4 linked regions of the Coturnix japonica genome follow. The protein of the gene in region 4 purifies or fractionates together with the protein of the main gene of each other region. This does not show direct contact. Links are inferred from orthologs where the notes say so. Each region holds a gene or a part of one and is shown on either strand. Other genes may lie near its edges. The genes, in order: SSX2IP, CEP135, OBI1 and WRAP73.

Region 1 (6,748 bases), on a different chromosome or scaffold from region 4:
AGTTGACCCTTTCTTTATAACAAAATTACATGTTACACATTTTATTAAGTTGTAAGCCTTGCACAAATAAAGGAAATCTAAAGTTACTAACAAAAACTTGAATATTGGAATATGAGTACAGTGCCAATGTGAAAAGTAAAATAGCGTACACCATGGACTGATGCTTTAACTAAACTGCAGCTCTGATAGGAACAGTGAACACAAGAGATGTGACATATTGCAACAGGTAATAAATGCTTCTTTCAAGGATCAGTTTTTGTACTCACTTTTAGATTTTTGGATTGGTGGGAGCGATGGTACAGAAGCAAGCATCTCTCCACCCATAAAAGCTTCATGGCAACTCCAAATTAAGAAAAAAAAATAAAGAAATAAAAAAATAACACACAAGTAAGTAGAATTCAACACACACAGCATTCTCCTTGTCCTGGAAATATTTATTTTCCATTCAAAAATAACCCGTTTAAAGTGGTATTATTTGGAGATTTCAGTTAGTTTCCTTGGCCCATTTGAATTACATACACAAGAACTTCTGAGAAGAGCAAGAATATGGTCTGAGTTCTTTCCACACATGTAGGAATGTATTTGTCCTGCTGCATCTGTGCAGAGGAAACCTGCAGCAGCTACTGGAAGCAGCGCTACAAATGTGGAAGAGGGCTGTTTTGTAGGGAACAAATTCCTAAGTAAAGCTTTCGATTATTGATTTTTTTGTTACGCAGTCTGTAAAAGCTATTTTGTACCATTCTCAAAGACAGAAAATAAATGAAAAGCTTAACAAAGGTAAAGTAAACCTGGAAAATAATTTCTCCTACCCAATTAAACTTGAATTTATGATAGAAACACATTCCCATAATGTAGACTGAAAAAGAAGCCCAGATAACAGCACACAAAGCACGTTATATTTAAAGACAGAGGGTGTAAAAGAACCATGCATCTTTTCAGTATCACACACAGGTGTACTGTGTATGTCATTTTCACTAGCACTCCCTCTTAAGTATGCCACTTGCCCTTTTATCTCAGATAGACATCTCTGTGCAGTAACACACCTGCATGGCATTCATGAGGAGCAGAGGAGGAGACTGCTCCCAACAGTCTCTGATTAAGTAAGCTCCAGAAGTTCTAATTCTTCACCATGGTGGAAACAACATCACCATACTACCAACCACGCCACCTGCAATGTTCACACCATCATTAGCAGCAGCTGCACATTTAGAAGCTTTCTCATCAATCACTGCACAGAGTAACCCAGAAACTCCAGGCAGTGCTCTCCTTCTTTACAGAGAGGGAACTGACCCTGTACCCAGGCCCATGAGCCTTGCTCAGGACTCAACTGCATACATATTTTTAGCACAGTTGATTCTTCCATATAAACATTCAATTAAATTTCTGCTTCTATGATATGGGTCACAGAGTTTAAACTAAAGCGCATACAACATAATTAGGTTCCTAATCATTCAATAGGTACAACAAATTAAATAATACATTATTTTGCTCTTCAAAGTCATCATTATTCTAAAAGTGTTCATGAAAAATTGCTTAATAAAATAGTCCAATTAAGGTATCCAACAAGAACATGTTTAAGTGCCCTCAGAAAACATCAGAGAACAATCTCTTCAGAACAGCAGCAGCCCCTAGTGGCATCCTGATCAACTACGGATTTACAGATCTTGAGTAAATTAGTTTCAAGATAAGAACCTTGCATGTAAATTACTGTTCTCCCACTTCAAATCACAGAAAATCCTGAGTTGGAAAAGATCCACAGGGATTGAGCCCATCTCCTGGCTCCTCACAGGACTACCAAGACGCAAATGTTGCCTGAGAATGTTGTCCAAATACTACTTGAACTCCAGCAGTTGATATTATGACCAGTGCCTTGGGGAGCCCATTCCAGTACCCAACTCCCTTTCTGGTGTGGGACCTTCTCCTAATACTCAGCCTGTGCCTGTCCTTACACAACTTCATGCTGTTGTCAACATGTATATTAAATTCTTCAGCTTATGTCTTTGAGCATAATTTTAGATATAGGTTTTTACTCTTTCATAACTAATATTTATGCAAGTTCTTTACAGTATCATGGGGACGGCATAAGCTCAGCAGAACTTATTTATTGAGAGGGAACTGGAGAAATACATTTTAATATAGCCTTTTTAGAAAGAAATATAATATGATTATACTTGTATTGTTTTCCCTGTCTGGTTACTCATGCAGAAAAAGTACATGAATTGACTCAGGTGAAGGAGACTTTGAAACTTCTCATCCATACATGGGTATTTTTAGAAAGTTATGAACAAAGATTTCCCTAAGGCTACACCAAGAATTCTGGAGCCCACTAAGATGAAAACAAAACTAGCATCAGACAATGAACCCTGGCCCTACAACCACAATAATTAAAAAACTAGCAGTCACAAATCACAGAATCAGTTTCTTAAAACAGACTTACACATTTATTTTTTTACATTTGAAATAATTTTATTCCTGGCTGAACCACTGAAAGTCCTAATGCATCTGTAAACAGAGTATCACTATAAAACAATTTCAAATACCATGTAAAATAATATTATGGATGTATGCATTTCATTTCATGATTTCTCAACATAATCATTTTGTCTATTTACAAATATATAAAGATTTCGTGCTTTAGCTCATCTGAAATATCAAAGAGGTATTTTCAAATCACACAAATTAATAAATATAGAACTTGTTTCATTAAAAATCTACAGTATACTGTACATTCAAGTTGAGGCAAAAGAAGTTTTAATGCCAGTTACACTTGAGATGTTTCTCAAGATGAGTGTTTCTAATAATTAAACCATTCCCAAAAGTGCTATCTGTCTGTGATGAAAAGAAACATTAGGATCCAATATTTCATTACAGCCAAAGTTTCAGACCATAGCTTCATTCACAGAACCGCAGCTTCCATTACTAGAAAAATATCAAAGCTTTAATATACTTTTAAATAAGCATCTTTCAAGAGTTGCAAGAAAAAGAGGCAAGAAATGGCCTAAAAAAAATTAAAAGCCATGTGCACACACATACACATCACAGCTCAGCTTACCACATAACCCTTCAGAAGAATATTCAAACTCACAGCATCCTGTTACACTTTAGAAGTTTATGAATAACTCTAACAAAACAGCAGGAAACCCTAGGAAGTCTAAGGCAGTTGATCTATGTGCAAGTTTCTACATAGCAGAGTACCATCTTCAGAGTCTTCCTGTGACTGCATTACTCAATTTCTTCCTTGTCACTTTCCTCCCACTGATTTGGCTTACTGTCTCCAGCAGGTTTTTTTAATGCAGCATTGAAACTGGTAAAAAGATAAAGTAACAGCGTAAGTAACTGCACATTCAGTTACTAATTACGCTTCAAGAGAGAACAACAATACTGTTGTGATGTTTTATTCTTCTACATATCAATCATAAGACCTAGATTAGATCTTTTGGTACATTATCACAATTTCATCACTGCTCTAAATAGAGTTCAGCACTATGAAAAACAAACAAATAAACCACAAGAAACATCTACAACATCATTTGAGATACCTGTTATGTGAAATATACTGAGAAGTCTGGCAGGATTCAGCTGAAACAGGACCACTCAGCATACAGTGAGGTTTTCTTTGCTGAGACATTGAGCTCAGACGATTGTCTTGGTCAGGAGCTGGAAGGCATACATATAATCAGTTAGCTCACTTTACAATTGAAAACATTTGAAGGCTTAAATTTTAAGTCTTCTATCAAAAACAATGGACAAAAAAAAACCAAACAAACACCCAAGCACAGCAAGCACCTTCCTCCCACCCTACTGCATGACTGTAATAATAAATACAGCCAGAAACACCAGAAGATGAAAAAAGATAATTATAACTTCAAAAGCTTTAGTATACAGTCTTAAATAAGTTGCTCACAGATCATTAGAATCAAGTCATTCTTCAAGGTAACAAGGCAAATGATCTGTTCCTAAAAAGACAATTTTTTCCCCACTATGGAAATGAATTATATCTTAATCTTATAGGTAAAAGGTGGAAAAAGCAAATTACAGTAATATAATTTGAATACTTGCTTTCTATTAAGGCACTTGGAGTTGTCACATTTTCAGAGTGCTTGTAATCAGTACACATACTTAAGAACTGTTGCTTCAACCACGCTCCTCTATCTTCTTCAAATGCTTTTCTCTAGGAAAATAAATGACTATTTACAGTTACGACCACAGAAACAAGCTTAGTCTACGTTAAATTGATGCTATTCCATACTATAAAAGACTTCAAAAGTTACAGAATACCCATGCAACTAAGGCAATTCAGAAGTTTAACAAAGAGTTACAGTCATGTAAGCAAGCTTTTCATTCCAACAAGGATTAGCTGAGGAGGTATTTATTTACAAGCCAAACCCCAAGGTTTTTTGGAGAGGTCTGAATAATCCTTTCACTTTACTGTTCTCCACTACAGTGACACAATCTCCTACCACTGTCTCTTGTGCTCCCCCTGTCCCCACAGTGCGGCACTACCTTGTGGAGATGCTTCTATTTTCTGGGCAGTTGCTCATAAGGATTCCTGCTTCCGTCTTAGTCCTCAGCTTTCTCATAAACAAATACAAGCAACATTGAAAATAGCACTGATCACTTCCTTCCACTAAAAAAGACTGAGCAGAAGAAAGGTGGTGTTTCCTTTTCCAATCACTCTATGCGCGCAAAAGTAGAAAATTCTGGCTAAAAAAAAAACCTTCAAAAAGATGCATGGGATGTAGAATCAAGAGACAAGCTATCCTAACTCCAAAAAACATCAGTGAAACAGAGTGCTCCCATCACATAAAATAAGAAGGCTTGCAGTATTGCTTCTACTTTTTCATTTCTCCTTTCAAATTTCAGTATTCTAACATTCAGAAGCACAGGTAACTACGTTTATGTTGTAAAATGGTCTAAAATATTTCAGGACAAAACTTCAAGATTACATATTAAATCTAAGAATTCACTAAAATGCAAGGAAAATAGAATGAAAAAGATTGAAGAATGCATGATCATATATATAGTGGCCTGAATCAGTATTTGTCAGTGTTCTGAACTACTGTTGTACCAATGTCTCAAGTAAAACTCAAAATATTCTATGATCTTGACCTTTCATGTTCCTCCCTGCTAAATTTGTAGTTGTCTTCATGTTTTGATCCTAACTGCTGGCCAGACAAAAAGATGTGCTAGAGCAGCACGCTTAGAGAAATACCCACCCCAATTCCCTCCCAGTATAAGTCTGTTTACTGGCCAGCTCAACTACAAGAACATGAAATGGCCCTACTGAAGCAAAGATATATTTTGGCTTTCTGCAAAACTGGTTTCCACGAAAATTTAGAAATCAAGAATCTTTGAGAATTCAATACTGCAGCCAAATCTGACAGTGATTTGCATAAGCCCGGCTGTCTTAGGGAGCTACACTGAAACAGCCTCTAATCAAGATTTAATGAATAAGCAGACAGATCTTTCAGAAGTACCTAGATATTTCCAAAGCTGCAAGAAAAATAATTCATCCCAGTTGCAGCAAACCCATTCCAATATACACGAGAAATTAGGTGTCTGTTGTTTTGTTTGTTTTAAGTGCCAGCTGAATGATCTGCTGCATTGACCAAAGCTATGTTTTACAAAGTGCAAGAACAAGCTCTCTGAATAGAGGTATAAGCAAACAGACAATGTATACTAGGAAGTTTTTAGTGTGTATTAAGAGTTATTCTTGTACTCTCTTCCATAGCAGTTCCTTTTCTAATACCTTTCCACTTTTCTAGTACCTCTAGTCCTAATCTAATAGCAGCTTCTGTAAAACTTCTTCGTTCCTTCTCAAAGTTCTTTTTTTGCTCTTGAAATAGCCTCCATTCTTCCTGAAGACGCTCTCTATCTTCCAGCAAATAGCAGTCCTGTAGTAACAGAGTGGTGTCATCATCACATGGAGACATAAGCTGTTGCTGTAGATATAAATACAGAAATAATAATTTTGGAATGACTGTTCAGTTGTTTAGACTTTCCACAGATTCAATTTCATCAAAAAAACAGTTGAAGTTTAATAAGCAAAAAACACAGGTGGTAGGGGCAGAGTTTCAAGCAGCCAGCAAATCACCTCTGTTCATGCAGCTGGCCTTATCAACCGTCCTCATGTCAATTAACCCCCAGAAATTTTCCTACCAGGATTACAAACTCATTACATTACTAATCAACTGAACAGATCACTTAAACCAACCACAGAGATATCCTATTTAAAAAGCACTGTCAAAAAAAAAAAAAAAAAAAGAAAAAAAAAAGGAGAAAAACTCAGAAGTGAGTGATAAGTGACATTAAAAAAAAATAATAATTCACAGATTTGGTCTTGAAAATAACAAAAAGCCTGCTACCTGTAAAAGCTGCTGCTGAGTTTTGATCATTTCTTTACATTGCTGAATTTCTAACTCTAGTTTTTCAGTTTCCAGCTCATGGTCTTCCCTTGAAATTACATCTTTATCATTCAAGGCTCCTGAATGCACACGTGACACTAAGGGAGAAGAAAAAAGGGAAAAAGGTTACTTAAAAACAATACATCACAACACTTAAAACTCAAAGCAATAACAAAGATTGTTAAACTGTAATAGTTTAATTCCAAAAGACACATTCATCATGCACTCAAAATTCCTATTATCACGACAAGCAATCCAGAATTGGTACTACACTCGTAATTAAGAGCTACTGCCATTTATCCTGAGCTGAACATTACAACGTCACCTCAGATTTCACATTTTGT
Region 2 (8,037 bases), on a different chromosome or scaffold from region 4:
AACTTCTTGAGGACAGGAGGCAGAATAGTAGGGAATGTAGGTGAGGTTGAACCTAGGAGATGGAGGTACGTAGATGATGATCCTGGTTTGTCTTTGTTTCTTATCATCCTACTCAATTGCTAACAAATTAATCTTCCTCAAGTAGAGATGGAGTGAGAGAATGAATGAGGGTCTGACAGCCAGGCAAGACTGGCCTGCCACAGTATCTCAAACAATAGCACCTATATTATTATTTTGTATCAGCAAAACAGTTTGCTTTTTGATGAAATATTTCCATTCAGGAGCAAAGAAAAAATAACAGTATTCAATTTTTGTGCATGGATGGCTCATTCATGAATCTACATAAACAGTATATTGCTACATTTCAGAATACAAGAACTTCAGTCAGAAGTAACAAGGTTACAGGAAAAACTAGAGATATCAGAAAATGGAAAGAAAAATTACAGCAAGCAGGTATATTTACATTTATTTGACTATTTTGTTTTCTTTTTTTGTATTCATTGTTTGTAATAGCCTTGATTATAATTTTATTATGCAACCATTGTAGTTGTTATAAAGTACAATTATTCTTTCTTTCCTCTACACTGTTTTGAATTTGTAGCTTTGGAGGCAGCAGCAGTATTGGAATGCTTCCCCACCTCCTTTGCCTATGGATTTTTCTACTTAAAAGTTGCGTTAAATAAACTGTAGTTAATGATTATAAGCTCAATTTTTTTGTACATCTAGGGTTTTTTTTAGTGTAGAAATATCCATGGGTTAGAATTAATTAGATCAACAGGTACATTAGGATATTTTTTTATTATTTGGACTGGTTATATTTCATTTTAATTTCTCAGAGGTTAATTCATGGACAGCGGATTTTACAGCTCTTTAATTAGATTATATCAAAAAGATGATATTATATGTATAAATGAGGGAATTGCCTCAGGTGTTTGTGTCTTGTTTATCTTTCAGTATCTAAGGAGTAGTGGATCCAACCCCAATTTCTTTTTTTCAGTTACATGTTGGTGAATTAAATCCTTTGGTTTCTCTCCAAGAAAAGAATCTTTTAGGACTTGTTCCGGTTTGTTGGTTTTGGTTTTCTCCCATGAATGTTATTTGTTCAGTTTTATTTCAGAGAAATCACTTTGTTCAGAAAAATGCAGAATTCATAAAAACCTGAGTACTAAATAAAAAAATTTATTTGCTAGAGACATCTCTTCTAACTGAGCATTACATAGGAGCATATCAGAACAAAGGTACTGTTAAATGCTTTAGAAGATGATAAAGGTTTTGTTTCTTCAAAGGTTGAGCTTAGAGACAAAGAAATAGAACGCCTAATGATAGCATTGGATGGTGGTCGTTCTCATGAAGTTATAGCTCTGGAATCAAGAAGTAAAAGCAATGAGAAACTTATTGCCCAATTAAATTCACAGGTAATGAATTAATTGCTGTTGATAAGTTAAAATGAAAAATACTAGCAACTAACAATCACAAACAACTTCTAGATCTTCTTCAAAAAAGAAAATTCAGTATTAGATAAAATCAACAAATTTAACTGACTCGCTTTTTAGGTGGTAGACTTTCTTGTCTAAAGAAATTCCTTGTTTTAAAAGCCTGTTTTTTTTTTTGTGAAGAATTTAATGTACACACCTCTGTGTATAATAACCTGAGGGTATTCAGGAAATTTCTGAATGATACACTGTTTTGTCTGAGTTTGAAATTACTTTGATTTACAGTGTATATGTGTACATTCCATTTACGTCTTTGCAGCTAACTCCTGTATATGTACTTATCAAGAGGTCTGCAGGTAATCTCATCAGATAGTGGGAAATCCTCTTAATTCTAATGGTCCTCACCTTTATTTCCAACATAGACTTGCAAGAAAATAATAAGGTTAGGATGTTTGTGTTTAATGTGTGTGTTAGCATACATGTGTTACTGGTCTCAGATTGAAAATTTCTGAATCTAAGGTAGTCTGGAGTACAGATGAAGTCTGTCTCTGGATTTATACCATGTATTTACCATTTGGGTACTGCTTGTATGTGATATACAAGGTCAGAGAGAGCCAGGCTACAGAGCTCGTTTGCTCAGGTTCAGTGATGCAAAAATATGGTATGAGCTATGACTTGAAAGCAGTACTGCTGTTTTCAATGATCCTGAATTAGTAAGTTGTGCTGAAGATACACTGATTATGCAGAGTGAGCCCAGGCACCTATGCTATATTTTCAGCACTGCATAAAGCAGGTTTTGAGCTATCAAGGCTATTTATTTAGGCTTAGTGCTGATCTTCTACTTTTAATCTCTGATAGTAAATGGATTGGTGCTGTATAGTAGCATTTAGGACCATGAAAAGACTCAGACTATCTTCCATGCCTAGAACCAAACTTCTTTCTGGAGGAAAGTTATGTGGACAAGGAAGTGCAACATCTGTTAGGTTGAGATATTTCAGGCTCCCATTTCCCCATGTAGTGTAATTTATATATTTTTTAACTAACTTGCACGGAGTAGCATAATGGGAAAAACAATGTCTCTAATGCAGGATTTCTAGAATGTGGTGTTTAAGATGCTGACATGTTGAAAGCAAGGTTGGCATTACGATGTGATCTGTAAAGCTTCCTTTTCTGTGGAAGAGTTAATAGTGAATCCAAGCCTAGCAAATGTACTGGATAGATAGATAGATAGGAGGAACTGTCTTCGGAACTGTCTTCAGCTCTTGTGAAGTCTGGGGAAGCATTGAGTGCATTGGGTTTACTAGACTGATGCCCAAGGCAGGTTTCTATAAAGCTATCTACTTTTCACTGCTTTGTTTACAGGATAAATGTTGAATTTTTGAGCCCATATAAAGAGCAATGCAGTAATTAATTTTTTCCACCATGCACACTTGTAAAACAAGTGAAGTTGTAAAACTTTGCATGTTGATATGTATTTTTTTCTAAGAACAGAAAGTCTAGCCATTATTAACAGGATATCACTTTTAATATAGAGATGTAGAGATAGCATATACTTCTTCCTAATCTTCTAAACTATACTATCTAGTTAAATAATATGTATTAATGTTTTAATAAAAAATATCTTTTAGGTTGAATATCTTCAGCAGTCAAACAAAGAACTTGAAAATCGCATTCAAGACCTCATGGACACAAAAAAAAATGTGACTAGTGAAGTAGTGCACTTAAGCAATAAAAATGAGGAACTCTGTCAAGAACTGAATGAAATAGACCATTTGGCCCAGCAATTGGAAAGACATAAGGAAATTGTGCTTGAAACTGCAGATAAAGAAATAGAAGAAGCAAAGGTAATCACTAGGGTTTTATGAGTTGGATCATCTAAGCTGTTAGATGAAATTTCTCTAATTTGCCTTAATTTTGGCTTTTTTAGCTGCAACAGGAATACCTCAAGGAAGACTGAAAATATTTTGTTCTGATTTAGTGGTATATGGAATTTCTCACTAAAAGATTAATCACAGCAGTTTTGTCTTATTTCTGTGTTAGGTGAGGTTAATTCAGTAAAGAGGCAGTCTGCCTTCTTTCTGTTACCTCAGTATGAAACAAAATTCAGAGCTACTCTAAAACTATAGATAAGTAATAGATGTTTGCAACAGTGAGGAGTGTATGGATAGTTTTTTTATGAGGTGTCACGGTGTGACTCAATTAGTTGTTTTGTTCAAAATGAGTGTTTATGGTTAAAGTGTTATGTGCATTCAATTAATAGGAACTTTAATGAATCTGTGAACCTAAAATTTTGCAGTTTGCAAGGAACTGATTATAATTTGTTTCTTAAATAAAACCTATTTCCTTAAGTTTTATAACAGAGGAATTGTTTTGAACATGGACCTTTAAAATTAAAGTTTGTTTTGTTGACAGAAAGAAATTGAAAGAAAAGACAGTGAAATACAGGATCTTGAAGAAACCGTAACGAGGCTTAAATCAGTAAGTGAAGTTCTTCCAGTTTAAATCTTCTTTGTAGTATTTTTTTCATACTGTCATTCACGTCTCTTTCATTAATAAAAATCAGCAGTGCTTCTTTATTATTTAAAAATTAAACTTGTATCTCCAAATTTTATCAAACTAATGTAATACATGTAAGAGCTGAAGAAGCTACATGATGTTGTTGCAAAAATAAGCTGAAAGAAATCTCTGCAGGCAGCAGGCTTTACTATCCTTACTATGCATTTTGTTATTATTTTTGCTATTGGAAGTTGTAACTGCCATAACACGATCATTTTTACTAACATTTAATGATTATATCCAAAGAGGTTTTAATATAGGATTTACTCTGTCTCTTAGTATATGAACAATTACACGTTACTTTCCTAGTCAGAAACAAAGCTTAATAGCCCAAATGAAAGACGACATCCTGAAAGATCTGTTTTCAGTGTGTAAGAAGTTGTGTACTAGTTGCATGCAAGGTTTGGGGTTTTTTTTTTTTAAAGTATTTCTAATGAAATTGAAAACATGAAAATATTTTCAGAGCACCAAATTATAGGAAATATTAAATGCCATTTGGCATGTTAGCTGCAGGATTGAGTTGATGTTACGTAAAACATCAGGGTTGTTTAAAAGTAGGCAGTGTTGAATATTAGAAGCTTAACAAAATGTTAGGTAACTAATTTTTCTCCACGTGTCTCTATTGGCACTTCTAAATTTTTGTAATATTTGTTATTTCAGGAATTGTGCTCATGTCGTCAACAGAACGAGAGATTGAGTGAAGAACTCTTTGGAAAAGAAAATGATGAAGAGAATCTTGAATTACTGCTAAATCAGCTTGAACAAGAGAAACAGAGGCTGACAGAAAAAACAGAGAACTTTGAAATAAAAGGTAAATGGTTAAATGCAGATTCCTGCAAATTATCTTCCTTAAATTTTTTAAATAGAGTGTCTTCTAGGTTATGAGAGACTAAAAATACTAATAAATAAACAAAAAAAAAAGTCTGTAGGTCTTCAGTCATTGTTTAAGTGAAATTTTTATCTCAAAAGCATGTTTGAAAGTTCAGCTTTTCCCATGGGGCATCCTAATAGTAATAAGGCAATTTCTTACAAAGTAATTTCTTTTATCCCAAGCTGTTTTCATTCTGTCTTTCTGAGTGAGTGACTTCAGAATGTTTCTTAAGACCTTTCTGTAGCAGTTTATCATTCTTGTTTCTTGTAAAAACTGGGTACGGTATTGTAAATGTGACCTAATGAACCATAAGTAAAAGGAAATAATCATATCCTTCAGTCTGCATCTCCACTGATGCAGTTCACTCTACTGCTAGGCCTCAACTGGTTCCAAAGCACGCTACTGATTCATGTCTAGGCAATAGTGAACCAGGACCCCTGTCTCATTTTCAGCAGATCCCGTGCCTAGCCAGTTGCTGGATGTTAGTCCATTCCTAATGCAAATGTCTCTGATTAAATTGTTATGGTTCCTTTGCAGTTGTTTTTATTTTTCTTTCTGCAGAACGAGAACTTGTCCTAGAAATAGAAAGAATGAGATTAGAATACGGTATAGCTCTAGGAGACAAATCTCCATCTCGTCTAGATGCATTTGTCAAAACATTAGAAGATGACAGAGATTATTATAAAAGAGAATTAGATTATCTTCAGAAAATGATAAAACGAAGACCTAGCCCAAGTCGTAGGACTCCAGAGAAGGTAACATTCCTATTGTCAATATAGGCTGGAAAAATTATAGAGTAACTGTGAAGGAGCTATCAAATATATTTTCAGTAGCAATAAAAGTTTTTTACTTTTTTAGACTGCATTCTTAGCCTAGAAAATTAACTGAGAATAACTTTTTGTTTCCCTGTTTTCATTTTACAGTAACATGGATTTATATAGTGATCAATTTGTGTAAAATAAATAGAATTAGATTCTAAAGAAACAAAGTTTGAAATAGTATTGTTAGCTGGTTTGCTTTTTCTGTTTAACAGTTTGTTCTCATGGTTAAATTTTACTAGTAATGCCATGTTTCTTGGAATTAAAATGTCTTAAGTGTGTTTTTCATACATTCCTAATCATGTGGGTTCTTTCTTGTAATACTTAAGTATCCTATTATTATTATGTTTTAATTTCAGTTTTATTAATCACTTTGCAGAGTGAAGACCTGAGACTGATCACTAGAGAAAGAGATGAGCTACAGTCCATGTTAGACAGATTTGAAAAGCATATGATAGAAATTCAATCCAATGTCAAGCTATTGACTGCGGAAAAAGACAGATTAAGTATTCTTTATGAGCAGGTAAGAAGGTCTTCATAATTGGCATTGAAACATCCAATTCAAACTTACTTTACTGTTGCTTGCTCAAAACAAAGCAGCTCCACATTATAATAGAAATTGAGGAGTTTAGACCTACGAGAAAATATGAAGAATAATAAAATATATACTTACATATTCTTATTTTTTTAAACTTGATAATAAAATTGCATGTTCTAACATTCATGTATTAACTTCAGAGTCATTTTAACATTCTACTGGTGTTTGGAAATGAGAAGGATCAGGGAAAAATGAAAAGGAAGCATGTGAAAGTTGGGTAGAGATACAGGCTAGGTAGAAGTTGTAACTAAATTATGAGAAAACCAAGTGAAGTTAGTCTATACTTGAAATGACAGAAGGATTCCAAGTATGTTGGCAGTAGAAGTTGTGCTCCTGTGTGATTTAAAATGTGTTTTAGTTATCTAGGGAAAAATAGTCCTATATAATAGCACTTCTATTGTGATAACAGCATTGGAACTTTGTGTCATTGTATACATTGTATTAATTGTAATCCACATATACTAACAACTAAAAGCTTTTTAAAGTCTCAGAGTGAATTAAACAGGCTGAGAATGGAAGCAAAACATCATTTGGTTTCTCAAAGTCATGTGGGAGAAGATGGAGATGTTGCACTGGCAGACTTTAGAAGACTGATGGCAGAAAAGGAAAGTCTGAGAGAAAAGTTAAAGGTGAGACTATTTTAGCTGCATTGCTTACAGTGAGAAAAGGCTTTTAAATTATACCATGTTTATGTCTGACTGTCAATCAGTTCCACTTTTCAATACCTTATAAACCTGTCTGATTTCAAATTCATTTAGCAGAACTGGATGAGTTGTCTGAATTGTCCTAGTAAACTCAGATCCTAGCTAGAGTGGCAGTAGAGAAAAGGGGTTGAAGCATCAGAGGGCAACTTATGGAATTACTTTGTGTGTAGAGTCTAGATATCACAGAATATTTTTGTGTATGCGCTGCTTTGAGTATGGTTTTTCTGTCACAAAACTATATGTGCTACATCCTTGTGACCTTCCTATTGCCCTGTATCTCTGTAATGTTTCTGCAACAACTGGCAAATATTAATTAAATTGAAACCAAACATGAATTTGAATTGTAATTAAACAAACTCTGAATTTATTGTTTTCAAAATCTCGTGCGTGTGTATATAACTGCAGTGGTGTATTTTCAGCTATTCAGTTATGTTTAGTGAAAATCTACATCTTATTACAATGTAAACCGGTGCTTTTATCTCAGATTCAGCAAGAAGCGGCTAACCTTGAAAAATCAAAGATGCAGCATGATATTTCAGTACTGGAAAATAACATTCAACAAGTAAGTTCATTTTTAATAAACAAGTTTTTATTCTAGAATTGGATAGTTGTTTTTTTTTTCTTTTTTTTCAGCAATTTTTTTCAGCTCTTTGTAACTTAGATTTACTTAAAAGCCAAGTTGTGATAGTTTTCTTCAACAATACCATCTTTTTTTTTAATTGCAGTTTGAGTTGGAAAGGTGTGAACTGAAGAGTACAATCTCTATCCTGAAAGAAAGAATCAAGTCTTTGGAAAATGAATTAAAATTAAAGTCCAATAAACTTATCCAGACATCTGATGATTCTTCTCAAATTAAAGCTGAACTTTGCTCACTTCAGTAAGTCTAATACAAAATACAGTCGCCTTTCAGTGACAGTACCATAATTTTACTCTACAATGTGGTCTTAGGAAGGACCTTGAGATAGTTGGAAAAAAAAAAAAATCACTTCATACTGTTTTTATCTTTGGGATATGTAGATATGAATAAAGAAAAAAAATACTGGTTTAGTTTTTCATA
Region 3 (8,037 bases), on a different chromosome or scaffold from region 4:
AGAGGGTAGAGCAACATCATCTAAATCAGATGCTTACTTTTCCTAGGTCACACATCTAGAAGAGTTGCATGAATTCAGTCTAGAAAATAAGGACTGAATAGGTAAAGACAGCATATAAAAATATTAAGTTCAACGTGTTTTAGGATTTCTTTCAGCCCGTTTTTTTTTCCTTGAATATACTTAAATACTTGTAGTAAACCAGCTAGGTCAAAATGAAACCAAAGTTGAAGATAATGGAAGTAGAGTACAGACTAGAAACTGCCTACGCTTTTGAAGCATTTGAACTGTTCCTGAGTCAAAGTCTGATCCATGCTTAGTATGGGCAGAAATTCACTCCTAAAACACAGAAAGGATGTGAGTATTATGGAGGCTAAAAAAAGTTCTAACAGAGACATGAACAGGCAAATCCAGATGGCATCAGAGCTGTGAAAGAGGCCTGCTCTGTCCTGTTTCCAGTAACAACTGACTGTTACCTGTGCTTGCAAAGAGGAAAGTCGTCAGCTATTCTTTTGGGTTGCATGGACAAAAGATGGTAAAGTAACCAGCCTGCAACAGTCTCATTCTTTCTCCCTTGATATCTCATCTCTCTGACAAGCAGGATGCTAAAACACAAACAAATTAGAAGAACAGAAATTCTTTCTACTGGGGAGTTTACCTGACCTTAGTGAAACAGAGTAAGGGTAAATGATCTGGTCTCTTCTAACTCATCTTTTCTAGGATTTCTTTAACTGCATCTGTTTTCAAGTTTGCCATTTCATAAACTTCCTCTCAAATCTTATAGGAGAAAGGTATTTCTTGCCATTAAATCCCTTTTCATTGCCAAGATCTTTAACAGCGCTCTATCTCCTTTATTAGTGGACATGAGAGTAAAGTGTACCTTTATACATTTACAGCACAAGGATCATGCATTTGCTTTCTTGGGGCCTTGAACGACTAATAGCTTAGCAAGGAAGCTCTCTATAAAGGAATAATTTCATCTTCCATCAAGTTAGTTGAGCTAGAACAAAATCCAGAGAGCTCTTCTCTGGCATTACTTAGATCCCTCTAGCCCCCTTTCCCAAAAGCACTATAGAAACCCTTGACTAATGCTGCTCTTAGCTTTCAAAAAATATGATTGCTTTGCATCAAAAAGTACTTTCAAGGAGATGGACTTCAGCACACAGTTGTAATTGGTATGAAACAGTTTCTGCTGTTTGAGGTCATCACTGATGTTTAACTGCTCAGGAATATCAAGCAGACATCAGCTGTGGGAATGACGCTCTTATGCTGCAGAAGCCTGATTCTATGCATCTTGCTCAGATGAAGGCTGTCAGGAACATTCCTTGAATGACCAGCCTAAGTTCATACAACACATTTTGAAGGCAACAAAAAGAAGAAAAAAACCCTCAAACCAACCAAATACAAACAAGCAGAATCTTGGCTCACAGGAGCAAATCTACTTTAAAAAAAAAAGATGGAAGATTTAAATGAGATTTCTTAGTAACAAAAAATAAGTTAACTGTAGGATTAAAGTAATAGCTCCAGTTCTCCAGTACGAGACAGATAAAACAGAACAACACCATTTGTGGTCAGCACATATTCCTTTACAGCAGACTTGCTGTTATTCTGTAAGTTGCATTTGTCACCCAAGTCTATGAGGATGAAAACTCTAAAGTCTGCCTTGTGACACATATGTAATGCTATGTACACCATCAGAGTTTTAGGTTCAAGTCGTACAACAGTTAAAGAGTCTATAAATAAAATATAGCAGCTTTTAAAATATTCACATACTTTTGGGGTGATCTACTATCAACTTCAGCTTTTAGTCGCAAATTCTCTCTTAAAAGGCTATTGTTCTCCATGCTCAGTTTCTTATTTGCCTAAGGAAAAGAAAAGGAAAACAATAAGTATACAATAAAACAGAAATGACTTCTAATATTTATAGGACAAGCTGTTTCTGCTTTTTTTTAAAGAGACAGAACTAGAAATGTGAAAGCAGGAAACAGCCTTTAGACAGGGACACCACTTAAAAATCATCATGGGAAATGGCTTGCAAAACTGAATAGCGAACAGACATTTTTAATTTATATTCCCAAAATACACTGCAAGTGTCCTATCTAGGGAAATAAACACAGCTATGTTAGTTAGTACAGAAAGTCATTAAGGAGATGTACTAATGGCAATTCCATGTTTTTTTTCCACATGACTAAATACGTTAAGTACATTAACATTACAATGTGCAGGTATCAGCAAAACTAATGTTGAACAGCTTCCTCCATCCCAAATTAGATTAAGATTACTTTGTTTTTTTTTTTTGTTTTTTTGTTTTGGCTTTTTGTTTTTCAAGTAGTTATCCTGTGGATGTAAATCCATTATGACAAGCTATTTGCAGTTTTTCTTTACTTTCTTCCAAGACCTTATGATTAAGACTCTTGATTCACAACTCTTCTGCTCCTCGAATTGAGGTCAAATCCTTCTTCTCAGTTCAGACAACGCTCTTGTTAACAAGGTACTTCATAGAAAGAACTTTCCTGCTGCTGTGTTTCAGAACAATGATTGCCGCCATACTAACAAGTAGAAAGAACTCTTTGAACTTAATAGCCTACTCAATCTCTGTATGTAGAGAACTGCACCAATCCAGGACTTGTAACTCATGGCCTCACTCAGAGAATGCTTTCCACTGAATACTTGAAGTACAATCTCAAGTTAGACCTGAAGAAGGGGCTAAGAAAACAGGTTCATGAATGAAGTATCCTTTGTTGGAAGCATCAAACAGCACAAGAGAGACAAAAAGCTCTAAACGCTCATACAAATATTCCCAGAAACCTTCTCAGGTAAGACTAAGGTAGTGTGGGATGTTGGGGAAGGAATGAAGGGGAATTAACTAAACAAAACTCAAAAAAAAATCCTACAATATTCAGAGAGGAAAAAACAAAAAACCCCACAGATTTATTGTATAGAAGGAAGGGTGAGCCCAAAGCTTTGGTATTAGTACGTCAATCCCTTTACTGCACATTAAAAAAACTAAGAAAACAAAAAGCTATCCAGAAGGTAATGAATAAGAGCATCAAACCATTTTATATCAAGGCCAAGACCTTTCTCTCTTTGCAGGGACACAGTTCTCCCAACCACAAAGTCAAATAGGAGGTGAACAACTTGCATGAAGTTGCTACATAGGGATCTGCTGACACATGGCAGAACTGAACCTCCCCAGTCTCCTTCTTCTAGAGGCTGCTCTAACCTCCAAGCCTGTAATCTGCAAGGCATATCTACATGCAGTAGCATCTAAATTTATGAATTCACATAACCTCGTCATTAGTGCATGTGCTTCATCTAGTATTTCTACCACAGTGCTGGTGTCAGTACTTTCAGATTTGCTATGACTCTTTTCAAAGTTAGTGCGTACTCCGGGAGCCTCTGTCCTAGGACACTGAAGGATAATGGTGACTCATTTCCACCCTCAGTCTGGTTTAGAGAATGACAGCAGCAGTATGTTTTGAGGGACCCTGTCTCACTTGAGAAGAGATGCACGTTTGAAGCTCCTGTGTCAGGTATTTTAGGGAATAAGGAAGGTTCTGGCTCCAGACTGATTTTATGTGGGAAAGAGGTCTCTGCTGTTCAGACTGGGCTTGGTCAGTGCACTCTTATTTCACAGGTCAAATGTGGTCTAAAAAGAGCCAAGTGATTTTATATATTTCCAGAACTGAGCAGCTGCTCTACATGAAACAGACTGAAAGAAAGTGACTGCATTGGAGGTTTGGACTTGGTCCCTAAAACCCATCTAAGCCACTATTTGTATCTAATCCTTAACCAAAATCAGAAACTCCATAAAAATCTTTCATTGCTAAGGCTGAAGTTATATTGCAGGAAAAAAACAAATCAAAACAAACCACCTTTCCTTCCCCAGTCTCTGCTACATTCTAATTTTATCTCATCTGTGAAAAGGAGTTATAAACCTCTGTCACCACAGAAAAGAGACATTACATTTTAATGCTAAGGAAGAAAAACAGAGAACTCTTTGCAGGCAATACCCTTTAGCAAGTTAGAAATTACTCTCAAGCTTCTGAAGTATCCCCTCTCAGAAGGCCAGCTGTGTCTCTGCCTTGTAAAGCTGAAGTCCAAACCTAGCTAAACTATTCAAAAAGCTCATCTTGGAAACTCAAGTTTACTTTTTGGTCACATTTAAGTGTTTCAAAAATTTTATCTGTTTTAGTCAGGACTAGAATTTCCTTTAGATTATGAAGATACACATCTAGGAGTGTTCCATTAACACTGACAACTAACATAACAATGACAGAATGGCATAATGCGCACCTCTGAGTTTGAAGCTACTAATTCTTAGAAAAGAAAAAAACAGTTCTTGAATTTATTTATTTATTTTTGCAAGAAAAAGCTGCAGGCTTCCAGTGAAGGATGCTCTGGTTATAAAATGCTGAAGCTTGTCTATTTTTGGTCAACAGGTCAAGTTACTCTGTCTCAGCAAATTGCACCAAAAATATTGGCTCGCTAGGAGGGCAATAGTGCAAAATCCGCCTCAGCCAACTGTACTGTGTTTTGGCCACTGAATGTTGTAAAATAGATATATTATATAGATTATTGCAAGCCTGAAAAATCTGGCCATCAATACTGGTGACAAGCACTGCTATAATCCAATTATCCAGTCACAGAGTGACAGAAGAGCTTAGGAAGAGCCACATGTAAGGCTCACTAAAACAAGCAATAGTATCTGACACTTGCAAATGCTGTATGGAAATACTATGATGCATCAACAGCCACTGGAATCCAATTTTTTCCCTGTTTTTTCCTGGATCTATGAAGCACCCAGAGGTCATGCCAGCTCTCACCCCTTCAACTAACATGAAAACTGTACTTCAAGATGGATGAAGAAATGTATTTTTTACCTCCTTTAACTTTTCTACGTTATCTATCACTTTTTCACATATATCATTGGCAGCTTTCAGCTTTTTGCTCCATTCTTCTGGGGTTTCTGGGCCACTGGTACTTGCTTCATCTGCTGATTGGCTAGTTTCTTCATTTTGGCAACACAAAGCTGGTACTGTAGGATCCAGAAGAGATTTCAGTTGTGTCTGTAAATTGAGATTTCTGTCTCTCAGTTCCTCCACTTCTTTTTGCAGGGATTCTATTTCATCCTAAAGGTGTCAGAAATTCACAGGAGAGATTAATTAAATAATGATGGCAAGTTTCCACAGCACTAATGAACCATTGGTTCTTCAGCAAGCCCAGATGCATGCCTTCACTCATGAAACTAAGTACGCTTATGTGTGGTGCTCCAGGCAGGATTTTAATCAATTTGCACACTCAGGCATAGGGAAGGTTTCAGCAAAGGGAATCCCTTGACTATATAAAGGACCCTGAATGAACCGATGGTCAGTCCAAAAGCTTCGAAGCATTCAGCAACATTAATCTATTATTAGGGCGCTCTGTGGGAGGATTTCCTGTACAAAGAGAGTTCTTAAGGTCATCCTCTGCTGACTCATTTGCTGTTATTTGAGAACAAGATGAGAGAGCCACTCTGAAACATTACATGTTCAGATGCTGAAAGTCTTGAGATTTAAAATGGACAGAACACTGCCTGGAAGAGGCTGCTCCAGCTGCACAGGAGTAGAAATATTTAAGGAAAGACTGCAAAACAAAGAACAAAGCTATTAGCTGTAACAATCTGAAGCCACAGAGAAGCAAAAGCCTACTGTTAAAGGGATAAAAAGTATGTAATTTATCCTGAAAATGTCTTCTTTACTCTTTTCCAACTTAATACTTGCATTGCTCACGTTAAGATTACTAAAAGAGGTCATATTATAGCATTTATGTAGATTCAGGATATATCTGCACAAATAATCAACCTCTACCATCCTCTTCCACACCTCTTCCCCCCCCCCCCCAAAAAAAAAACCCCACAAAACCAAACCCACCCAATAAACAAATCTCAAACAATAAAAAACCTCACAACCATTTAAAAATAGATTCTATTTTTTTTGAAAGAGGTTTATGTTATTTTATGTCCATTTGTGTGATTCTGGAGTTGACTTAAAAGAAACAAAGGAAACTCCTTTTTTGTGACTCCTCTATGAAAGAAGCTGAGTTCCAGGCCAACTTGTCATAAAGACTTCCCCCACATTAAGGATACACATGGTGTCCATTTCCTTTCTCTCATCCTCCTTGCTATGAGAAAGGTTTCCTTGAAAAATGTGCTAAGTCTTCACACTGCTGCTAGTAAGGAAACAATAACTGAGAAGATAAACTAAGCATATTCCTTATATATATTATATATATATATATATTCCTTATATGCCTCTTAACCTTGTTCTTATTTTTCCAGTCAGAGAGTAGAAAAACTTCCGAGCATTCATCCACTCTCACAAAACACAATAAAGCAACAATAATGAAGTTCACCTACACCAGAATACTCCAGGAGCGTTTATTCTTTAAAAAGAAATTCAGATTCCATAAGCAACAGGGAATCATTCAGAAAATGTTAGTACCCAACATCCAATACGCATAAAAGAAATGCATACTACCATGGGATTGAATTTCCACAGCCTCTGCCTGTAGTTGGCTACCTCTTGCTTAGACAGAATATCACTGTAACACTGCAGGATCTACCCAGCTGCCAACAAACACTCTCCCCTAGCCTAAGCTAGAAAGTGTTGCTTTAATGCATCTGAGTTTCATGTAGATACAGCACTGCTCAAATTAAAAACACCAGGACTCAATGCAGGAGAACCAGTTGCATACAGTAATTTAACAGTCGCAGTTCATCTGGGAAGTCACAATGCTCCTGTGTGCTTACCTCATATTCTTTGTGGAGCAATTCAAGCCTTGTTTTACGTAGGTGCTTTCTAACTGCTGGACTAAATGTAGGATCACTTTCACTCGTTCCTCCTAAAGCAACACAGAAGAAAAAAACCCACCATTATTATTACTAGCAATCCACCTTGCAATGCATTTCATATTGTCAGCTACAAATAAAGCTAATATTGGATCAATCTACTAGCATGGGAAACTACAACCTTACATTTTTAAAACAGCTTAGACAGAATCTATTAGTGATGTTTAGAAGACAAAATCCTGTCTCACAGCAGGAAGACAACATTTGAATTTTTTCAACTTTGAATTACCCTTGACAGATTCATGCCTTATTTAAGACCACACTGTTAAAACAAATATAAGGGAGGGCATTGTGGTTTAACCAGAAAGCATCTTAAACACCACACACTGGTGCTTGTTTACTTCTCCCACTGGGTCAGAGAACCCAAAAAAAAAAGGTAAGACTCATGGTTTGAGACAAAGAGTTTAACATGACAGAAAAAGAAGGGATAATAACAGTGATAAAAGAACAAAGAAAGCAAATGATGCACAATGCACTTGTTCTCCACTTCCTGACTGATGCTCAGACACACCCTAAATAGAGTTCCCCCTGTTCCAGAGCAGCCTGGATCAGCCTGTGACAAACGGTAGGGCTGCATTTCCATCCCATTGACAGTAGATTGCAGGTGTACTGGGTGCTCCTCCAAGAAAAAGCAAACTGGGGCCTGCACTCTACTGCCAAAGGGACTGAGAAAAACACACTGGCAATATCAGTTGTGGCATACCACTTGGCTGCATTTGACTCCAGTTCATATAGTAGTTCTAACATGTATGGTACACCAGCACTCAGCAGTGGCATGACTTCACTCAGGCCACGATAATCCAGTCAGCCCCCACACTCCACTGGACTTCTGCAATGCCCATATGGGACTACTGACGGGGGAGCAAGTCTGGCTTGCGACTGCTTGGCTCTCCTGCTGATGAATCAGCTGATGAATGGGAATCTTGGAGTAATCTTTCTTAAAGTGCTGAGTCACTTCCAGAGTATTAGGGTCTGTTCCCCTTTTCCAATTGTTTTGTCAATGTTCCCTTCCCTAGAGAAGCATTCCAGATGCCTGGCTTCGTAGCCCACTAAATCTAGACTCCTGGCCCAATTATCCCAGCCTCAAAGCAGACAGGTGACAATGTGCTCACCTTGATGACAGCTGAAATCTTTTCACATAACTCACATAG
Region 4 (8,037 bases):
CCTGGCAGACAGGCAGGAGTGTTGTTGTCCCCGTAACCCAAACTGAAGGCTGGTGCTATGTGCTACAAATGAGTTTCTTATGGCACATTCATGTGGGGGTGGACTAGCAAGTATTTATTACCTCCCAACAGAACTCGGTTTGACCTTAGAGGATTTCATTAAGCCTTTGCCAAGTTGGCATCTGTGTTGGGATAAGTTTTCTTTCCAGCTGTAAACAGGTTGCTAAATTAGCTTTGTCAGACAGCTGCCTGGGTTATGCCGGTGTCTGAGTTGTGTTTGCTCTATAGCGTGCTAAATCCATAGTCTGGTGAGACAGGCGTTAGCAGTGCTTGGGACAGAAACTCAAGATACTTAATATTGGTGTGTTATGAACTTCAGGGATTGCCTGGGGGGCTTATGGTTCCCTGTCAACTGGTGCAGTTTGGCTTTGGTAGCTTGATGTTTTCATACAGCACCAACTAATTACTCGTGCTTGTAATTCTTCAAGTTAACATATGAGCTCCTTTGTAAGCTTACAAGTTGCTTTAATTTCTACTAGAGACTTCCTTAAGCATATGGTTATACTAATTTATTTCTAGCAGTCTATGCTTACTAGTACAACAGAGAACATATTCAATGGCCAATTTTAATGACATCTTTACATTTTTACATCACAGACATGTAGAGTTTAAACAAGAGCTGCAGGTAAAAGATACAGAGAAAGCAAATGGAACTTATTCCAGACTTAGAAGCTTTGTGATGGATGGCTGGAGATCATCAGGGTAGTTCTGGAGTGTCTCTCTTTAGACCTATTCTTTGAGATCTTGTGTATTGTACTTTCTCTAGTTCCACTTTAGTACTGAAGCATTAAGAAGCTTCCTTAGAGCTATAGTAGGAGAAAGAAATGTGTGTGTTTCTGTGTATATTGGAGCTAATCCTTAGTAACTGGAAATGGCCACGTTGGTTGAAAAATGCTTTCTGTCGAGGAATGCACTCTGAATAATCTTCTGAAATCCGGTGCTGACAGACACTGCTATGTAAGGAGGCTTTGTGACCCAGTCAAGTCTGGGACAAAAGTTGACAGTCATTTGAGATGCCAGGTTGTTTAAAAGTGTGTTTTTATCTATTGAAAATCACCAGTCTCACACCTGCCTATAGCTGTCAACATTGGACGTAGTCCTGAACCCAGCACTGGAGACTGTTTATCACGTTACCATCTAAATGCTTTTTTTTTTTTTCTCAGCTGTTTTTAGGCTATTTTAAAAATGCTGCTGCTTTTGCTTTGGGTTTTTTTTTTCCACTGCAAAACAACAGCTGAAAACTTCTCAGCCACCATTATTGTTAGGATTTGGGTTTGACAACTCCAGTTTCTCTAGCAACTTATAGTGAAGAAAAAGTACCCTCAGAATGGGCAGTAAGAAATGCCTGCCGTGAGCATTTGCTTTTGTGAGTTTCTAATATCAGTCCCAGAGTTTTTAGGTTGTGTTGTGTGACTTGGACAGGAGGCTGCAATAAAGTTATAGCAGAACTTCCATGTGGTCTTTAACTTAGTTGATGATGAGCCTCAGGTAATGCAGAGGTAACAGTAAGAGCCCTGTGTGCCCTGTGCTGCTTCTCACTGAGAGATTCCCCTCTTCCTGAGCACCCCAGCAATAAGGTTTTGCCTTCTCTGACACTTGGAGCCAGCCTATATGGTCTGGGGTGGTGGTGTATATGACATGCAGCAGGCCAGGTGAGTTGACTGGGGCCAAGTGGTAACACAAGTGTGAACTTGGATGCCTTTGTCAGGAAAAATTACAATCCAGACCTCAGCATTCAAAGCTTGCAGCTGCTAAGCTCGTATTAAGTGGCTGTAGAATGTACATTGTGTGTGCTGCTTGTTTTGGTCAAGGGAAGAACAGCAGCGAGTACATTTAACACTGCAATTAATAGGAGCAAGCAGCATATCACTATTGCAGTTGCTGTAGAAGAATGTGAGTAGGCATTGTGTTGGTATTTTTAAAGTAAATCTTGCATGAAGAGCAGGCTAACAATGCTGTATTTTTGTATGTCCGGAAGTGAGCAGTTGCAGTGATAAAACTTGATTAATGGTGTTCATCTTGCAGATTCCATTGGGATCCCTTAAACTTTAAGGTGGTACTATAGATGTCTAGCTGTAATTTCATAGCTGTTAAATAAAGGAAGAGATAATAAAGGCTGCATTAAACAGTGGTCCAATTGTGCTTTTTTAATCTTTGGACATAAGAAGGCTGGGATTTGATGTGGTCACTGCTCTTTCCTGTTGCATTTTAAAACAGCTGTTTTGTGTGATCTCTTCAAGTCTCATAAGTTTCTTAAATATATATTAAAATTAGTGAAGAGAACAGTGATGCTCTTTTGCTTCTGTTCCTCACATTGCTATAGAGAGGCAGCATTAGGAATGTGTAGCTTGGTTGGAATACAATGTCAATTAATGACATGGAAAGCATGATTCATGTCAGCAATAAAAAGTCTCTGAGTTCTGCTGCAGGGCACAGGCTCCAGTGTTAACAGAACAAACACAAGATGCTTCCTTGGGGTCATTTCTCACTTCTGAATTGTACCAATTGCTTCAGAGAAAGGAAAATGTGAATTGAGGCCAAACACAAGCAAAAGAGCAGCAGAAACTTTTACCCACCGCTGCTGGTAATTGATCTGCATTGGATGCAGGTGGGTGATTGAATGGTAGATGGTGCTAAAGTTTTACTTATGTAGTGAGTCAGAACTAATTGTGTCATTCAGAAGTCTTGGGAAAGATGGTTTTTATGTCCACGGATCTTAATAGCAACAATAGTTTTACCTGCGTCTTATCTAGAATCTCTTACCTTGGTGCAATAAAAACATAGGAAAACATGGGATGAAAAACATACCCCGGAAACATTCCTTGCTCCAGATATAAATGCAAAGGTTCACATGACATACTGATTAATGCACATATGTCTGGTGTGGCTGCCGTTGCTAAGGGAGAGTAAGTATTTGTTTTTAATTGAATAATCTGCAGATGGCAACACAGAGCTTCCAGAATGCAGGCTGTGACCTTGACGAGCTGTGGAGGGGCTTGTTTTGCAGCTGACTGCCTTCTTTGCAGTTTTCATGTTCTGGGGGTACACAAGTCTCCAGAAATACCGCAGATATGGTGTTTAATGCTTTGCTTTTGCTTGTCTGTAATATGAATTCCTTCCAGATTTTCTTACAGCTTTGTGCTATGCAGAATAACTGCAAAACTTAATTAAACCGTACACTGATAGTACTTTGCATTATTAAGCTAGGTTTTGGGGGAGGGTTATGTACTAACCTTTTTTTAATCTACAAAAATAAGCAAATACTTTGTCTTTCTCTCTCTTAACAGCTGCGGATAACTGTGTGGTCCTTATGTACCAAATCTGTGTCTTACATCAAGTATCCCAAAGCTTGTCAGCAGGGTAAGTGTCACCAGTTTCCCACAGGAATGGGATTGAACACAGGGATGTTTCACCATGATGGGTAACTAGGTGCCACATGCTGCGTGTGCTGTCCTAGGATCTGAGTTCTCAGCCCTTGCACTGAACTCTCACCACTTTATGTGCCTGTTCTGCATGTCTTTCCGTTGTGCTGCCTCTCTCATGGGTCCTGTAAGGTGTAAAGCTGGAAGTGTTGGTGATGAGAAGCACAAATCCAGAGTGCCTACTCATCATCAGGATGGGGGCTGACACTTGGGAGTTGATGGGATACCAGTAGCTGTGTGCAGCTACACAAAATTAACTGTTTCATCTGTCTTGTTATTGGTTTTGCCTTGTTCTCTTACTTACCTTTCTGTCCCTCTGGAAGGAATAGCTTTCACCAAGGATGGCCGCTATATGGCAGTAGCAGAAAGACGTGACTGCAAAGACTTCGTCAGCCTCTTTGTGTGCAGTAACTGGCAGCTGCTGAGGGTAAGATGTGTCTCTGCTTTCCTCTGCTTCTGTATAGGCTACAAGCATCAGCTGCACACTGCTTTAAACACCATCACTTTGCTACTCTGGTTTTAGACTTGCCAGTGTGTTTTTTAGCCTAACTCCTTTGCTGGCCTGTAGCATCATTCCATAGCAGAGGGATTCTGTTCAGGAAGCTGTATATACTATGTGTAAAGAAAAAAAAACAACAACCCCTCATATAAGCTATTATCACTAAGGAATAGTTCTTAAACTGTACACTTCTATGCTGGCTTATGAAAGACTTATGTTTATGGTAGCATTTGGAAGGGTGAAGTGAGGACTGCATGTAATATTTGTTAGTGTAATGCTTCAAATGACATTTTTCTCTTTCTGGGGACAGCATTTTGACACTGAAACTCAAGATCTGTTTGGGATTGAGTGGGCTCCCAATGGCTGCGTTCTGGCAGTGTGGGATACATGTCTTGAGGTAGGAGGAGGAAGATGAGTTTAGAGTTTAAATTGTTCTTTTTACAGCTGCTATGTATGAAGCAATAACTAAAATAAAATGTGGTGTTATTTTGCAAGCAAATATAAGATCAGCTGAACTCCAAGGAAACGTGTCAGAATATTACACCTGTGTAGGTAATGAGCTTCCTAACAAGTATGTGTCAAACTTATGTAGGCCCTTAATGACAATAAAAAAGCTTATTAACATCTAGCTTATATAAAAATATATTTGTAGTTTTAATTGTAAACACTGTGGAAGCTGCTATTCAGATAAATGAGGAAATAATTGTTCTCTAAGATGTTTCTTCAGTGTTACTTGATATTGCATGAGAATTTAAGTAGTGACTAAAATGTTTGTTAGGAATATGTCAATGTTATCTTTTGTGCAAAGTGTTTTCTGATGGCTGTGGATTTATGGGCAATTAATCAATTTGTTTCAGTACAAACTATTGCTGTACTCCCTTGATGGCAGTCTGCTGTCCACGTATCAGGCTTATGAATGGTCATTAGGCATAAAGTCCATTGCCTGGAGTCCCAGCAGTCAATTTTTGGCAATTGGCAGCTATGATGAAAAGGTAAGAAATAGAGAAGAGGAAAAATAAACCTAGCCTATCTAAATCATTTGCAGAATTGTGTCATAACCACTCTGTCTTGCAATATCTTCTTGAATTAGGTGCGTATATTGAACCATGTAACTTGGAAAAAGATCACAGAGTTTGAACACCCAGCAACTGTTACTAATGCAAAGACTGTAAGTATGAATCGTTATCAGCACTTTTGTGTGGCTGTTTGTTTCCAAAGATGTTAATAAATCCATTTCATCCTGGAAGCTTTTCTATTTTTCCCCCTTCTAGACTCACATACATGCCAGTGTATTTCACTGTAGGTGCTGATTGCTTACAGATTTGGATCAATGATCCATTGATTGCACCTCAGCAGAACTTCTCTTAATTGAGAAATGGCCTTTCTTTCCTGTGAAGTTTAGAACATGTAATGAAGACAAATGGAAGTAACTCTGCTAGTCTCTACTATGCAGACAGGAATTCCAGTTGGCATTCTATGTTTCCGTTATTCCATTTATTGCACTGCCAGATGTAGACTTTAGGAATATTGAATGAGTTGGACTCATTCTTCATGGACTTCAAGGTTCATTTATCTGCTGGAAGAGTTTTCTTGATCGTGGCTCCAATATGCAAACAATTCAATGAGGATGCAGGATTCAGTATTTGCCTGCTTGAAGCCTCTCTCCTTCACTGATAACTTGGGGGTGCTGAGATGTAATACACCTGAAAATATGGTGTAAATCACTTGAGTTAGTGGGATGAGAATGATTTATTAATAGCCCAAGCTCAAACTCTTCTAGGCCCTTCTTAGAGCTGTCACTTATTTCTTTGTAGATTGTGTATAAAGAAGTGGAGAAATCCCCATCTGTTGAAACAGAGAGATTTTCTTTCCCTCCGACAAGAGCATTGGCTAGTTCTGTCTTCAGCACACAAAGTAAATGTAAGCCAAGGTTTAGTAAAGTAAGACACTTGAGCTTGCCATCTTGAAGTCTTTCTATAAATAAATGTTATGTGAATGCTGATGTTGGAATGGATCCTCTGGGTGCTCTGCTCAATTCTCCTGAGTTAACTGAAGAGCTCCAGGGCAGTAAGGACCCTGCTGGAGAGGATGCTGTCTGTGCTCTGAAGGCATGTTGAAGATGAGTGGGTTGAATAAAAGAATAAGAAAAGAAAGAGAAGAATAAAATGCTTCTCTTTGTTTTTAACAGCTAGAATTGAATGCTTTGTCCATTCAGGCTTGCTCAGTAAAATCCTTCTATTCTCAATTCCAGATGACGTTTCCCAGATACCAGTCTCTTTCCAGTACATCAAACCTGTTGCTGATAGGGCTAATCCCAAAATGGGGATTGGGATGCTGGCATTCAGTCCAGATAACTGTTTCCTGGCAACCAAAAATGGTAAGTTCCTTCTGTTTTCTGTTAAAGGAGAAACCTTTTTGTTCTATGTGCATTACCCTGGGTTTGGCTTTATATTTAATAACAGTAACCTGCTCTTTAATTTCTCCACATTTGAAGCCACTGTATTGGAAAATGAAGTGCCCAGCTCCTTCCTGCTCCACTTCCAGCATGTGTCTCTTGGAAGGCAGAGTTCTTCACAGCCTGTTGTTGTGGGGCTTCTGATTAACACAGATGGTCATGGGATTAACACTCAGGTTTTCCCTTTGACAGGCCTGAGGGCTGTTTATGTCTGGATGCAAAAGTTGTGCTTCAGAAGTAGAGCCCATTAACAGCAGCACAACTGTGAATAGTTCAGTAAGAAACAGTGGAGGAAGACAAACTGAGTACTTCTAAAGAGGCCACGAGGCCTGTTTTTTCCTTCAGGTATTCAAATGATTTCTTCTTTACTTTCAGATAACATTCCTAATGCTGTGTGGATCTGGGACATTCAAAAACTGAAACTGTCTGTAGTGTTAGAGCAGCTGTGTGCCATCCAGTCCTTCCAATGGGATCCACGACAACCTCGACTTGCTGTATGTACAGGAAATAGCAAAGTCTACCTATGGTCCCCAGCTGGATGTGTGACAGTACAAGTTCCAACAGAAGGTAAAGCTTTCTACAATGTCCTCTGCAAGCCATCATCAGCTTTTTATTTCCACTTATAATAGTGCTTGTGCCAAATTAAGTTAATGTTTAAGCTGTGGCTTACAGCTTCTCAAAGACAGGCCTTTCCATCCTTCAGAAGATTGCAGATTATATGGTCTCAATTGTACTGTTTCTGCTAAAGTAGATGTAAAATCCCTGTTTTAGAGCTGTGTGGGGGGGTATTTTTTGCAGTGCATGTGGCTTACCTAGGAAAAGTTGCTTGGAATAAGGAGATGCTTCTTGCTATTTCTGCAGGTGACTTCCAGATTGTTTCTCTCTGCTGGCATCCTAGTGGAGATTCCATGGTGCTTCTGAGTAAGGATAACTTTTGTGTGTGTTACTTAGAAAGAGAAGAAGTGAAATAACTATTGATCGCATTAAAATGCTCACGGATCTGAGGAAGAATGAGGAAAGGGGTCAAACCCCAACCTGAAGCGTTTCAGTTTGTAAGTTATTTATTTGAAGGAGCACAATCCAGCTCCAGTCCATAAAGTGCTGTGAGTGAATCTGAATGATGTTGCATCTCAAGTGTGGGAAAACAAAGGCTGGATTTTAAGGAGCCTTCAGTTTTGATGTAATTCAACAGATTCTGGCAACTGTGGAGTGGTTTGGTTTTTTTTTTCCTAACATTGTAGCTGAATGTACATAATGTATAGATATTATTTAAATTTGATAATTTCCAATAAATATTTTGATATTACAAACTTAGTATGATTCTAACTAAAAAAAAATGCTATTAATATCAGCTTCAGGCTCTGCAGATGAATGAAGAGTAAGTTGGGGATGTTTAATGTTATTGAAAGGCAACAATGAAGCAGATAACCTTAGAAAAGGCCTTGAGAGGTGAGTGCAGCTTGTTGCGTTCCACTGTTATTTCAGCTTTGTGTAAGTTTCAGAAACACACCTGGAGCTCAGAAAAGCTTCTGCAGCACAGAATTTATTCAGCATCGTAGCTGTGCAGATGAATATTCCCATAAAACCACGTGTATAGAAGAG

Evidence for each region.
Region 1: the proteins of WRAP73 (region 4) and SSX2IP purify together in Homo sapiens (co-immunoprecipitation; 4 studies listed by BioGRID and IntAct, counting the BioPlex papers as one, with this or other methods). This does not show direct contact. The link is inferred for Coturnix japonica from reciprocal best matches to the Homo sapiens genes WRAP73 and SSX2IP.
Region 2: the proteins of WRAP73 (region 4) and CEP135 purify together in Homo sapiens (co-immunoprecipitation; 6 studies listed by BioGRID and IntAct, counting the BioPlex papers as one, with this or other methods). This does not show direct contact. The link is inferred for Coturnix japonica from reciprocal best matches to the Homo sapiens genes WRAP73 and CEP135.
Region 3: the proteins of WRAP73 (region 4) and OBI1 purify together in Homo sapiens (affinity purification with mass spectrometry; 3 studies listed by BioGRID and IntAct, counting the BioPlex papers as one, with this or other methods). This does not show direct contact. The link is inferred for Coturnix japonica from reciprocal best matches to the Homo sapiens genes WRAP73 and OBI1.

The regions. Positions count from the first base shown.
Region 1 is NC_029523.1:14,422,882-14,429,629, reverse strand, and holds the end of SSX2IP (afadin- and alpha-actinin-binding protein), read right to left. Parts: intron 6,503-6,748; coding exon 6,366-6,502; intron 5,943-6,365; coding exon 5,769-5,942; coding exon of another isoform or gene 5,750-5,768; intron 4,172-5,749; coding exon 4,060-4,171; intron 3,658-4,059; coding exon 3,540-3,657; intron 3,305-3,539; coding exon 3,223-3,304; 3' UTR 2,415-3,222; downstream 1-2,414. UniProt on the Homo sapiens protein: Belongs to an adhesion system, which plays a role in the organization of homotypic, interneuronal and heterotypic cell-cell adherens junctions (AJs).
Region 2 is NC_029519.1:58,569,724-58,577,760, reverse strand, and holds part of CEP135 (centrosomal protein of 135 kDa), read left to right. Parts: intron 1-368; coding exon 369-453; intron 454-1,286; coding exon 1,287-1,415; intron 1,416-3,061; coding exon 3,062-3,277; intron 3,278-3,845; coding exon 3,846-3,911; intron 3,912-4,649; coding exon 4,650-4,800; intron 4,801-5,421; coding exon 5,422-5,615; intron 5,616-6,057; coding exon 6,058-6,201; intron 6,202-6,761; coding exon 6,762-6,905; intron 6,906-7,464; coding exon 7,465-7,542; intron 7,543-7,705; coding exon 7,706-7,857; intron 7,858-8,037. UniProt on the Homo sapiens protein: Centrosomal microtubule-binding protein involved in centriole biogenesis. Acts as a scaffolding protein during early centriole biogenesis.
Region 3 is NC_029516.1:137,634,764-137,642,800, reverse strand, and holds part of OBI1 (ORC ubiquitin ligase 1), read right to left. Parts: intron 6,880-8,037; coding exon 6,788-6,879; intron 5,130-6,787; coding exon 4,881-5,129; intron 1,860-4,880; coding exon 1,771-1,859; intron 1-1,770. UniProt on the Homo sapiens protein: E3 ubiquitin ligase essential for DNA replication origin activation during S phase.
Region 4 is NC_029536.1:820,007-828,043, forward strand, and holds the end of WRAP73 (WD repeat-containing protein WRAP73), read left to right. Parts: intron 1-3,346; coding exon 3,347-3,419; intron 3,420-3,804; coding exon 3,805-3,908; intron 3,909-4,290; coding exon 4,291-4,377; intron 4,378-4,837; coding exon 4,838-4,972; intron 4,973-5,070; coding exon 5,071-5,148; intron 5,149-5,794; coding exon 5,795-5,900; intron 5,901-6,231; coding exon 6,232-6,357; intron 6,358-6,810; coding exon 6,811-7,002; intron 7,003-7,296; coding exon 7,297-7,406; 3' UTR 7,407-7,784; downstream 7,785-8,037.